2 linked regions of the Drosophila melanogaster genome follow. Changing the gene in region 2 together with the main gene of any one other region gives a genetic interaction. Each region holds a gene or a part of one and is shown on either strand. Other genes may lie near its edges.

Region 1 (5,147 bases), on a different chromosome or scaffold from region 2:
TATCCAGACTTCCCAACGGAACGAACACTCATTTTCTAATGCAGCCTGGGCGAATATAGAATGGAAATCCTCAGAACTAGTCATACACTTTATCAGTTGTTTTTGGTTTTTCTCCCTTTAAGTGTGCTTTTTGTGTTCTCAAAACAATTTAGTTATTCAGAGTACTGTATACAACTAATGTTTAAGACAACCAAGAAAAGTTGAAGTATCTAAGCGGTAGAAAGATATATACATAAGTTTATATATATATACGAATGCACAGTACAGCTGTTAAGTAGCACTTTTCCATTTTTCTATAGTTAACAAACCATTTAAGGTCATTACTATATATCCAATATATATTTTCCAACAATTTCCCCCCCTTTTTTCCTCAAGTTTTTCACCTCACCTGAGCTGGCTGGCTGAAATCGCGCTTTCAAGCTGTTCAAATGGTTGTGATGCTCATTGGCGATCACTGCCGCTGCGACGGCATTTGCCACATGTTGCACGGAGGACACATTGTTGTTGCTGTTATTGTTGCTATTGCCACTATTGTTGCCGTTATTGTTGTTGTTATTCTGGCCGGGATTTCCACCATTTCCATTACCAGTTGCCGCCACAACAGCATTACCATTGCCACTGGCATTCCCATTCGATCCCTGGTTGCCACTTGCAACTGCAGCGGCTGCCGCAACAGCGGCAGCATTGCAACTGGCAGCAGCAGCTGCTGCAGCTGCAGCGGCATTACTCTGCGGATCCATGAAGGAGTTGCGCTGGTAATGGGGATTCTCCTGGTAAATCCTCTGGTACGTTAGCGTGGGCAGCGTCCACGAGTTGTTCGTCTTGTAGTGGAAGTTGCCGGTGCCGAAAATGGAGTGGGGGTTGGTGTTGCCACCGGTATTCCCGGCTGCAGCAGCAACGGCGGCCGATGACAGTGTATGTGCCAGCTGGGCGGCATGATGCTGCTGCTGCTGCTGCTGTGCGTGCTGCTGTTGCTGCTGCTGGTGGTGTTGCGGCGGCGGCTGCTGCTGCTGTTGTTGTTGTTGTTGCTGCTGGTGTGTATGATGCGGATGCAACGGGTGGCCGTGATGTTGCTGCTGATGCTGATGCTGGGAGTGCTGCTGTTGCTGCTGCTGCTGCTGCTGCAGGACATGCTGATGGTGCGCTTGATGGTGTTGCTGTAGGTGCTGTTGGTGTTGCTGCTGCTGTTGATGCTGCTGCTGTTGCTGATGGTGCAGGGCGGCGGTTTGTTGCTGCTGCTGCAAGGCCCAGGCATTCACGCCATTGTTGCTGGTGGCACCTGCCCCGCCGCCTCCTGTGGCGCTACTCTTGCCCGAATCATTGCTGCTAACACTGCTGCGATGGTTGTCCATGGTTCCCGATGATCCTGTCATGCTGCCATCATTTCCGCTGTCGCTGTTGCCGCTGCTGCTGTTGTTGCCGCTGCTGTTGTTGTTGTTGCTGCTGCTGCTGTTGCCACCGCTATTGCCCGCCGCTGCAGCAGCAACGTGCGAGTTAAGCTGCTGGAAATACTGCGACAATGTGGCATTCGCGTGCTCCTGGGCAAAGAAACTAGTACACGAATTCGTATCCGACGACATGATCACTGGTTTCAACAACTGGGTACGTTATTCACTGGGTTATCCTTCACTGGTTACGGTTAATCACTGTTTTCTGATGATCCTAGGTGATCACCTCCTTGTGCTGAACGTGATTAAATTTGCTGGTCAGCAGTATAAACTTTGGGCCACGGCCAAAAGTTGTGCGCATTGTCTTTACACTTGGGTTCACTTTAGTTTTTTTGTTTTTAACATAAACGCTTGTCTGTGTTATCTGAAAAAAATATTGTGCTTTTGTTTTTGAAAAACCCAGATTAGTGTTTGAGCACTTTGGTATGTTGCTGGTTTTTTATTTGCCAGTCAATTGATAGCCAATTCGTTGTTGCTAATGAACAGGTGATAGGTGGGTGAAAAATGTTGGGAATGATTCAGTTTTTCAGTTTTATTAGTGAGTATTGAGTATGATGGGGAAGCGATTTTGATAGCAACTGATAATGAATGCGCTTGTTTTCGTGTGGTCAGGGAATGCACTTTGTTTTCGTCTATTTTTGTATGATTTTTATTTAGTTTTCCATTAGTTTTTATTGATGATCATGATGATAAGGAATAAGAAAAGGCATTGTATAGTTGTATAGTTTGCGCTTTCTTTTAGTTCAATCAATTTTGTATAATAAGATTTTTGTGACGCTATAGAAATCTTAAAGTGGAATCAATAGGTACAAAGGCTTTCCGTGTTCTTTATGGAATTTTTGCAATCAAAACATTCACGGTCATTTATTGTTTTTGCTTCACTTTTAAAACGAGACAAACTAATAATTATTTGCCAATTAAACTGTATATCAAATCAACCGAGTCAAAGGCTTCCAATGTTTTTTTTTTTTTAACATTATTTCAACGTAAATTTGGAATATTTTCTATATATAAATCAAAACAAATAAATTATTATTTTCCAAATCAATTGAATTATCCTTTTCATTGATGAATAACTCTTCTTCCTTTCAGCCTTTTGTTGAATACCTTTTCTTATTCTCAGAATTTGTTGCTGCGCTTGGATATGAGATCGTTTTTTGCTTTGAGTTTTGCTGGTTCGTATTTTTCTTTTTGAAGTTTGTTGTTTTGTAGAAAAATTAAAAGTAAATTAAACTGTTTGAAATTAGATCCGTAACTTTAGCGCTGTTGTTTAAAGATTCTCGAGAGATCTCCGGATCTCTCGCTTTTTTCTCTATCTCTCTCTTTCACTCTGCCTCGTTCGATCTCTCTCTCTCTTTCTGCGTATTTATTTCTTTTTTAATAATAGTAATTATTCGAATGACACACACACACACACTTTAGATTGATTTCACAATGAACCCATTGCACTTGAAATTTGATAAAACAAAAATGACTTCCTCGATTTATAGTTCTTCTAGAACTATTTCTGTTGCTTGAAAAATCAATTTCAATTAATTTATTTTGTTGAGCGTAGAAATATTTTTTGATTTTCCCGCTCGAGTGGCGAAAACACGGAACGAGCTGCGACGATTTTCACATGAGAACGCGATGCGACAGAATGCCGGCCGAGTAATTTTCTCGGTCTCAATGTCCGTCTCTGCTTTTCCTCTGCCGCCGCTGCAGTCGTCGCTGCAGTCGACGTCGCAGTCGCCGCTACCGCTCTCTCAGCCAGCTAAAAATTGCAATTTTCTGCAAGTAAGTCGGCTTACGTAAAGGGCGGAGGTCCGAAAACAGTAACCCCTCTCCTACTTTGATAATTGTTTAACTGGCTTTTTTTTATCAAATGTTGGTAGCGCAAAATATTTGTACATGTACAACAAATATTTTTACATACAGCACTGGGAAAATGATTAGCATTACTACTATATTAATCAATTCAAGTGCCATAGGTATTTTTAGTACAGTTCTTGGTATATATTAAACAGTGTTCATATACGAGTACTTCGACTCAGATTTAGTATCAAATCTATTATAAATTATAATTCACTTAGGACTAAACCTATGTTATCTTCTTATATCTAATTATCTATCAAGAACTTAATAATATTTTTTTTTAAAGCAACTTTGTTTTATCTCAGTTATTTCAACATTACTTATAATATTCTAGTAACAAAATTTATTATTTTAAAACATTTTTTTCTTGCTCTTAAATGATTGCTATTATCTTGGACATAGCTGTAGTTATTTGTATATACTTGGGGGACTGGAACTGCGACGCCCGCTGAGGCGCTGAGCGCTGCTGCGGCCAAGTCACGCGGATTTCAATATGACCCAAAGCCCACTGTCTAGCACAGTTCTAAGCACGTGTTGCGGACACACCGGGCACACACACATACGCAAATTAATTGAGAGAGAGCGACAGAGAGAATGAGAGTGCACGTTGAACGACAAGCGCACTCAAAGATACACGTACCGATAGGGTGACAAATAGAGATACGAATGCAACTCAAAAGTTTCCAGTCGATTCGCAATAGAGCGCTATGTCTGTCCCCCTGTAACGGGTGTACCTATGGCCACTAGACTTTACACATCAGCTGGAGTGCGTGGCCGATTGGCCAATTGCCGTGCCAATATTCGGTTAATTCGGCACTGGTGCGTCTGCAACACGTGACGTATGCGTAATGTGCTCCAAAGGATTGCCTCTGTGCCACCAACTAATTACCGCTGCGTCATTCCCAGTAAGTAGATCCGATGGGGCAGAGTGGTGGGGGGGGGGGGTCTGAAGCTGAGTGCTTAACACTCTGGGCGAAAACCCAATGAAACGACGTAGTAGCTGCAACGGAGCGTATACTTAATCTGCATTCTATCGAAGGCGCTAAACTATTGCCGTAGGTCGCCGTTTTTCTTGGAAATTTCAAAAAGTATTCAAACTATTCGAGGGCTTAATCAAGTTTAAATAATTATAATAATTGCTCTCTGTTGGCATAGGTCCGGTAAATTTTCTTAGAAGTTTTGTATAATACACTCAATACTTACCCAATGATCATCGAAGATTTTATAACTATGAATCAGAGCAGTAAGCAATTTGAGATAAAATATAAAAACACATTTCTGATAAAAATGCAAATAAACTGAATTACAATTACATGGATTATTTAAGAAATATATAAATAAAGAAATATATAAAATAAATAAAATATATAAGACTTATTCAATTTGTAAGGTTCCATCTTTCGTTAAACCAATTCAAAAGAATTCCAAGAATATCCTCGCCATTTTTCTACTTGTTAAACTTGTTAAGTCGCCCACCTTTTTTCAGCCTTGTGCTATTCTTCGGTTAAACAAAACTCTTTTTTTTTTGCATTTGAGAAACCCAGTCAGCCCTGAAAACCCATCAATTGGCATAACCATGGACCATGTGGTAGAGCGAACTTCAGTCACCTGTTTTACCCAGGCGGGTCAATTCTGGGAATATCGAGTATACGCCCCGTGCAGCCAGTGACTATTTTTGGAAAGCAACAAGTCATCCGAAGCTCCGAAGCGAAGGAAAAAACGAAGTTTGCTTCGGGATCCAATAACAGAAGGATGTGCGGCAGAGCTTTGCTATTGGCCAGGCTTATATGCCAGTGAAGCCGAGAATAGGGAACCAATCCGGGAAAATCTGCCAACGTCGACATG
Region 2 (8,284 bases):
GCGAATGCTAATCTTCAAGGCAAGGCTGGAGAGTTTATACAACCAGAAAGTGAGAAATCGTCTTACACCAAATGAAATTCTGTATTTACACGTATTTACAACCGAATCCCCAGATACCAAAACCCTCAAAAACCACAACATATGGTACTTACTATTGTTAAGTTATTATATATACCTATATATTAACGAAATTTATAAACAGGTCTTGATCTAAGTCTATAACTTTTGTGGACTCTAGATACGTTTTTCCTAGGCTAACGAAACAAGCGGAAAATATTCGATTTCCCGATATGAAAAAATTATGAAAATGATACCAAAGAACGAAAGGAAAGTGTTTAGAACTTATAAAAACAAAGGCAAAAACCCAACAGAAAAACTTTTCATGTGATGTTTAAGGATTTATTATAAAGACAGAGAATATTTAATTATTATACTTATACTGTATTTCGAATGATAATGATAACAGAGAATCGAAAAGTAACACGATATTATTCTAAATAAATTTAAATTTTCAAAACTTTTTTTCGTTGTATGAATACAAGGCAACAAAGTTATTAAGAATAAATAATCTCTTTACCACTCGACGTACCTGAAGTTTGAAATCATTTTGGAAAGTTTTCAGGTTTTCAACTAACTCATTCTGCAATATGCGATAAGCTCGTGCGATGATGGTGATGTAATATTTTTAAAAAGCTGTGTAATAGATTAACTTGCACTTTGCTGATATACAATAATTGTGTATGATTCACACCCAACAAACCGGCGAATATTGAAGTGCAGTAAACAATTGGCAGTAAAAGACCTTTGCTGGTTTGTTTCATTATTATAAATAGTTTATTTTCATTGATCAACACAAACGAGTTATTTTAATATGCATATAGATAGGGCTGTATGTATATAGTAGTAGTCATATGTATTTTCTTGTGTGCTCCACTGCGATTATTTGTAAAGTGTAATACAGCTTTAAAAGTGAATGCTCGAATTACGACACCAAACGATCGATCTACTCAGCTAGATGGTCTACAAATAAAATGTGTGTTTTTTGTGTGGCTTAGAGTTCTTTTTTAGTTTTGTTTCTAAAGTTTTATAAACTTCGATAACATTTAGTTGAAGCGCTGTGAGCCACACGGGTGACCGAAGCGGCAAAAAACATAAATAAATGGCGAACGACAAACATTAAGGTAGGAGGATATTTAAAATTATTTATTGCAGAATTTATTCATCAATTCTTTTCAGATTTCTTTCATCTCTCACGTTTTGAATGTGCTTCACGCGTTTCTTAAGTGTAATGTATATGTTTGTTTCACTACATAATAATAATAATAATAATAGTACTCAATACAAAGTAAAATAAAATAAAATAAAATAAGCTTAGCTTGCAACTAAAATTATGTACATGATAGGAATATAGATATCTGTATAGTTATATAGTATATATAATTAATTGTGTAATATGTACAACAGCAAATACTTTGTAACGTTTGCTTACAAACATAATAATTCTTTATCTTCTCCACTTTCGCTGTGCATAAGGAAACTTGGGATGCATAAGAGAACAATAACGTGGCTGGTGACCCCGATGCTCATCGCAGGTCACCAGCTAGCTATGCAAACAAATAGCTTGTGTGTATACAACAAACAGGTTAAATTAGAAATTCTTTTGGGCTGACCCTAAGGATTTTTTTTTAGCTCCGAGTTGACGAGATCTATATAGTTAAACATTCACGATTACAAGACTCAATACAGTGGATAGATAAACATACACACAGATAAGTGTTGGCCAGTTTCGGGCCACAGGGTCTTGTGTCAAATCCTTGTGGTCCAGACCTGGCCCTAGAGTTCTACATAGAGATGGAGACATGCATGCATCGGTATCTAATAGTTATCACTCGGTTTTGGACATCTCTACTAACATATGCTTAAACCAACTTCTTTGTCCAGGAGAACTACTGGCGCCATGGAACTCTCTGCTTTGCCATCTACTGCTCTGCTCCCCCGACTCTGATCCCTTCAGAGCCTCTGTCTCTTCGCTCTCTCTCCTGATCCGCCTAGTCGTGATCCTGTCCAGCTTGGACAGGGGCTTGCTTACTCCGCCAAGATCATCTTGATGCTGGCCACCTCGGACTCTAGGCGCTCCAGCTGCGACTTGAGCATTTGATCGCGCTCGGCACTGGTTACCACATTGGCCTCCTTGGGCGCCAGTAGCTTCCTCTGCAGCTGCGCCGTCCACTCCGCACTGGCGATGGAGATGCCGGAGTCCCTTTCGTCGCTGGAATTGTCGCCGCCATCGTTCCAAGCCGGCGGCGATGCCCGACTGCAGTTGGGCTCCTGCTTGATGTGCTGCAGTGAGAGTAGCGCCGTGGCCGCCGCATCCTTGTCGCCGAGATGGGACTTGTGGCGCAGCTTGAGGGGCAGACAGTTGTTGGCATCGCTGCCCTGCTGCGGACTGCTTCGCTGCAGCTGCAGTGGAGCCATGTGCGCTGGTTCGTGCTCCTGCTCATCATCGCCGGAAACAGCTCCCGATGAGGAGGCCGAGGAAAGAGTGGAGGAGGTGGTGGAGGAGAGCATGTGCTCGTAGCTGGGTGAGCAGGCCCGACGCGATAGATTCAGCACACTGGCCGCACTGCCGGACACCGATGAGCTACTGACCGCATCCACAGCACTGCTGCTCACAGCAGCCTCGACATTGTGGCTCCAGGCTGCAGCCGCTTCCAGGTGATCCTTATAGGCGCTGGGAGCGGGCACGTAGAGACCAGCAGATGGTGGCGGTGGTGGTGCTCCCACCACGGCTGCCGCATTGTATAGAGCGCCGGCGGCCACCACCTTGCGCAAGCTGTCCAGATCCTCGGGCCTGACATTGCGGTTTAGTGCCTGCTGCAGTTGCACCTGGAGATTGGCAATGGTGGTGCTTGGCGGGCGGTTGTGCGGATCGGAGATGACTGGCGAACTGGAGCCGGCACTGGGACTTGGCTCCTGCTGCTGCTGTTGTTGCTGCGGTGGCTGGGAAATCTGCTGCTGCTGATGCGGCTGATGCTGCTGCGGCTGTGGCTGGTAGAGATGCTGTGTCTGGGACTGGGGCACAACCAACTGTTGTAGGTGCGTTGGTGGCGGCGCAACACCCGCATGATGTATGTGGTGGACACTCTTAACCGTGGCCTCTGGCCGGGCATTGCCATTGGGTCCGTAGATCAGTGGAGATAGTGGTGGACCCACCGGATAGCCATTGTGGCCACCTTGAGGCGATCCCTCGCCCGATCCACTGCCCGAGGGCGAGGAGCCCGAGGAGGAGCCACCACTGCCGCTCATCTTGGCGCGCTTTGTGTTACTCAGCACCTGTTCGCTGGTGGGCAGCGAGGCGAGGATCTTCTCCACGCTCACCAGATTCTCGCCGGAGATGTTGAACTTGTCGCGTATGGCGTCCAGCTGGGCCTTCAGCACATGGTTCTCTTTGGTCAGCTCGATGACGCGCTGCTCCAGAACCATGTCATTGTAGCGCCTCTTCTCTCGACTCCGCTTGGCCGCCTCGTTGTTCCTTCTCCGGCGATCCCAGTAGCTCTCGTCCTTCTTGTTGTCCGGGGTGAATTCGCGTTGCTTTCGCTGCGAGAAGAGCTCTTTCTGGGCGGCGGTCAACGCCGACTGCGGTCCATTGCCACCCTGTGAGGGCGACTGGGCCATCATTCCATCTCCATAGCCGCTTCCCGGGACATATTTGCCCAGACTGTCGGACATGCCGCTGTCATTTGACTGCGGACTTATGGATCCTCCGTACATGGACAACGGATGCACTGTAAGGAGAGAAGGGCATAGGATTAGTTCTCAAGCTTTGGAACTATAGATGGATAGATAATTGATATGATCAGAGCCACTGCATCATTATATTCTCGGACACTTACAGTTAGAAGCCTCGTTGGAGCTGCCGTTCATCGAGAGAGTCGGCGATATATTGGATAGCCGGACGTTGTTCATCATGGCGATGTTGGCTTTGTTGTGGCTGTTGGTGGGCGTGCCGCTGAGGACCTCGGGCATTGCTGTGGACACAGACGCCTCCGGATAGAGTTTGCCCGGCGGCGCTAGCAGGAGCAGCTTCTCCTCTTTGCCTCCGGTGGGGGGGCGTGGCCCGTAGGGAAAGTCGCTGCCGCTCAGCTTCTGCTGGCTGTAGTGATGCAGCTGCGCTAGTTTCTGCTGCAGTTGCTGCTGGTGTTGCAGATGGCTGTTGTTGCTTTGAGCTTGGATGCGGGGAACTGCAATGCAAAGATAGAGAGGTTAGTCTCTTTGACATTCATAGTTCCTTAAGAAGGGACGTATTTTATTTTATTATATTGCTAAACTTATTTATACCTTTAAAAAGTATTGTATAGCACTTTTAAGATCTTTTAAACTATTTCAACTATTCTCTGTTATGAATTCAAATTAAAGCGTTCTACCAATTTGTACAACACTCATTTCCTGCGCCTGGAAGCAGACTACACTTTTTGCAGCCCCGAAAATAATAAACAAACAAGACCTTGCCCCCAATTAAAAGCCAAGATTGCGAAGAATATCTCTTTCCTGCTACCAAAACAATATCACTTATCACCTATTTATGGCATTTCTTTCAAATGTTCTTATCTAGCTACATATGCGACATTTAGAAAATATATACATATTTAGTAATACTAATCAGGCTGAGCATTTGATAAGCTAACAAATTGACAAGGCGTCCGCCACTCAACGCAAAACTCGTTGGGTCCCCAAAATGTCTAATGCGATCTTGTCTGGCCCAACGCACACACAAACATGCAGAACTTTCTTTGTTCGTTGGTCCTTGCCCTTGCTGCTTGCCCTCGTCTATAGCTTTACCGTTTGCTTTCGTTTTTAGCACAGGCATTTACACAATGATTACGCCGAATGATGCAAGAATCGGCGAGTGGGAGCGAGAAAGAGAGGGAGCGAGAATTAGACGACAAAGGCGACGAAGAACCAGCACAATCACACACACACAGACAAAGTGTTAGAATGTAAACAAGAAATCGCACATTGCACATCTGTGTGTGAGTGCGCCCCCGCTCCCGTACCCTTAGACATCTTTCTCCCACTCTCTTTCTTTCTCACTCACCCTCACCATGACCATCGAATTGGCATTTACAGTTCAATGTGCTCGCAGACACAAACACACACACACACACACATGCACGTACACTTAAGCGCTCTGGCGGCCAGACTCTGCCGACAACCCCTAAACGGGAGAGCAACAGAGAGGGCAACACAGAGAGCAGCGCTGCAGTCGGCATCTTGACAAAATTCACAAAAACAAAATGACTAAGCTTCGCCAGTCATTCCACCGCACCCCACTCAGCCCCCCATTCACCCACACTTTTTCGGGCTATTTTGTTTTGCGTCTCAATCTTTCGTGTGTTATTGTTTTCAGCCGACTAAGTTTAGTAAATATTCTAGAACTGATTAACAGTTGCCACTGTACTACGCAAAAAGAGCAGAAATATTTAAATATTGTGATTGTCATCAGTTTTCACACAAATTCTCAACAGATTTCAAGATCAAACGTGGAAAGTTCGAAAATGCTGCTCAAAGAAGCACATAGTTTTAAACTTTTCGTAACACTGATTTATTTGTTATAACTTTCGTAGCACTTGAACACCTACATTTATTGTTGCTGGGATTATCCTGCTTGTAGTTATTGATGTAATTCGTATCCGTATTGTTTTTGAGTATCAACAGATTTTTGGTCGTTGCAGCCGCTTTGAAAAAGTTCACTTTCTGTTCCAGCGTGCAGACAATCGACATAATGTTTTGTTGTTAGAACGAACAAATTGGCATTGTTTTTGTGTGCGCTTGCAGATATTATCCAAATCTTTTGAAAATTGTTTTTCAAACACTTGTGCAGTTCGGGGTTTAACCAATTTGACCGATTTAGTTGGCTAACGCGACGTTTCTGCGCTTGATGCACTTGGCCGAAATGCTTTTAACGGCTCGACCGACGGCTCTCACTTGCTTATCGCGGTTGTGAACCCGATCGGCTGTATATTATATGGTTTGGTAGTATAGTCTAGAGACTTATCGCGAGCGCCTGAACCGCTTCGAAAGAAGGCTGAATCGCAATTGAATTTGTAAAAGCATTTCTCCGACGAGCTGCTCGGCGGTCACGTTGTGGCAACACGCATCCGATACACGCGACCTAGCGTGTTCGCTCGCAACATGTTGCGAACGGTTCGATGCAGTAAAAGTGAAATTTCTCAATCGCCGCTTCGAACATGTACCAGCATGCCCGTTGCAAGCGATCACATTGCCGTTGTTGTTGAGTAATCAGCGCGGCAATCTCGGCAAGAACAAAATCGTTTCGAGCTGCATATTCGAAACTAGAACGTGATTGCCTGCTGCGGGGGGTGGGGTAGCTCTTGCCAGCGGGTTCGCTCTTGACGCTCAAACACACACAAGAACGCACACACACGTAAGGTGACTGAGGTGCTTTGGCCGCGTGAGTCCGATTTCGATTGCGATTCTTATTCCCATTCTGATTCCGATTCTCGGTACTGGTTGTATTCATTTTTTTTTACCCTTTTTGGGTTCGATGTGTTCGTGTGAGTATGCTTGTGTGTGTGTGCCAGTTGGGTTGGTGACGCAAGCGTCTTACACAAAATATTCAGAGAACCAGCAGCACATTATTAATAATCGAGAATGCATTCAAATGCACACATGCAAATGGCTGGGGAGTTGGGAAAACTGATTTGAATGAAAAGCTTAGGCAAGACACTTTTTTAAGTTGCATGTAAGAGTGGATAACTAGAGGAAATTTCCTTACGTATTTAATTAACATTATGAAAGGTAATTAAAAATTTAAGAACATTGATAAGGAAGCAAAAGTATTTGCCTTAAGATGTAGCTTATTGATTTGATTTTAATGTATAGCATTAAAGTACATACACATACGTACATATGTATATTTGAAGTTCCAATCAGTGAATTTTTGGGTTTCCCCACTCTACAAACATATTTGCGTTCAGAATAAATTCCCAGAAAATCTAATTCGAGTAGAGTAAACAGTAAACAGTGCTAGCTAACTATTGAACTCGTCTAAATCTGCATACAATTACCAATTTATTTAATGTACGACGAACAAATCGACAGATCACGTGGCTTTGAAACTTTGGATAGTTTAACAAGGGGAATATATGGTCGTGCCGATAACTTCCCAGCCACCAAACTGTCTGGTTGGCTATTACAAAACCACTTCACAGCTTATATAAATCATAATTAAGTGCTTAACACTGCGATACGGTTATCAGAATGGATGGGGTGACTATCAACTTAGTTGCAGTGGAAGACAAAGACGGCTATTTAAGTACTACACTAGGCAAACAACGAGTTGTTGTAAAAAAGTAAGGTCGGGAGATATTACGTAATTTCCTATTCACCAGGCAGTAAAACACTAACGCGGAACAAACAGTGAATAGTATCGAATCGAAAGAAGAAATTCCATTGAATTCGCATAAAAACAGTTCTCGATGGCGATTACCAAATGCCAGAAAACCGGAAAAGTGGAGAATAAATGAAATGAAATACATATGTATGTACATAAATACTGATTAAAGTGCAATACATAAAGTGCACTTTATCAGTGCTAATAATAGAACTAAGAAAACTATATTGCATTAAGTCAGTAGACCACTGTATAATGTTAGTGTTTTAAAGTACGAGCCTATAACTGACCTATCCTCCTGGGGCATAGCAATTTTCTACTAAATATCGTTACCTTATGTAATCTGGCTATACACTTGGCAGTTTCAATTGCACAGCTTCCAGTTCCATGATCATGAGCAAATCTCAATTACGCGATCACTGCGCGATATCCACGTGAGTCGCCCGATTCACGTGTCCGGACCAATCGTAGTCGGATCCGTCGGGATGGTGGGCCAGACCCCCCCGACCAACCCCTCTGGGATACCCCGTAATCTGCGGCACATCCATTATCAGTATGCAAATATGTATGTGTAATGTGGCCCTTATCACACTCCACTCTGTTTGCTGTGGTGTGCTGGTTTGTGTAGTGTTTTCTATACTAACATTCTGCCCCGGGATGCCAACACTCATCTTTTGGTTTGTTTTGACACACTCATACTCGAATATGGTATAGGGTATAGGGAGGAATTGCTGTAGTTAGCCCAAAACGGTTACGAAACACTTTCGTCGTCGACGTCGACGTCGACTGTGTAGTCTCGGATTCTGCTAGCACCCCGTGAAAAGGCGATGTGGAAAACCCCCTGCTCCACCCCTCCCCATTCCACTGCAT

Evidence for each region.
Region 1: of vri (region 2) and Pdp1, changing one enhances a phenotype caused by changing the other (phenotypic enhancement), as found in Drosophila melanogaster (one study listed by BioGRID).

Annotation. Positions count from the first base shown.
Region 1 is NT_037436.4:7,829,999-7,835,145, forward strand, and holds the start of Pdp1 (PAR-domain protein 1), read right to left. Parts: upstream 3,076-5,147; 5' UTR 2,556-3,075; intron 1,830-2,555; 5' UTR 1,581-1,829; coding exon 389-1,580; intron 1-388.
Region 2 is NT_033779.5:5,303,522-5,311,805, reverse strand, and holds vri (vrille), read right to left. Parts: upstream 6,157-8,284; 5' UTR 5,782-6,156; coding exon 5,640-5,781; intron 4,242-5,639; coding exon 3,894-4,241; intron 3,786-3,893; coding exon 2,086-3,785; 3' UTR 583-2,085; downstream 1-582.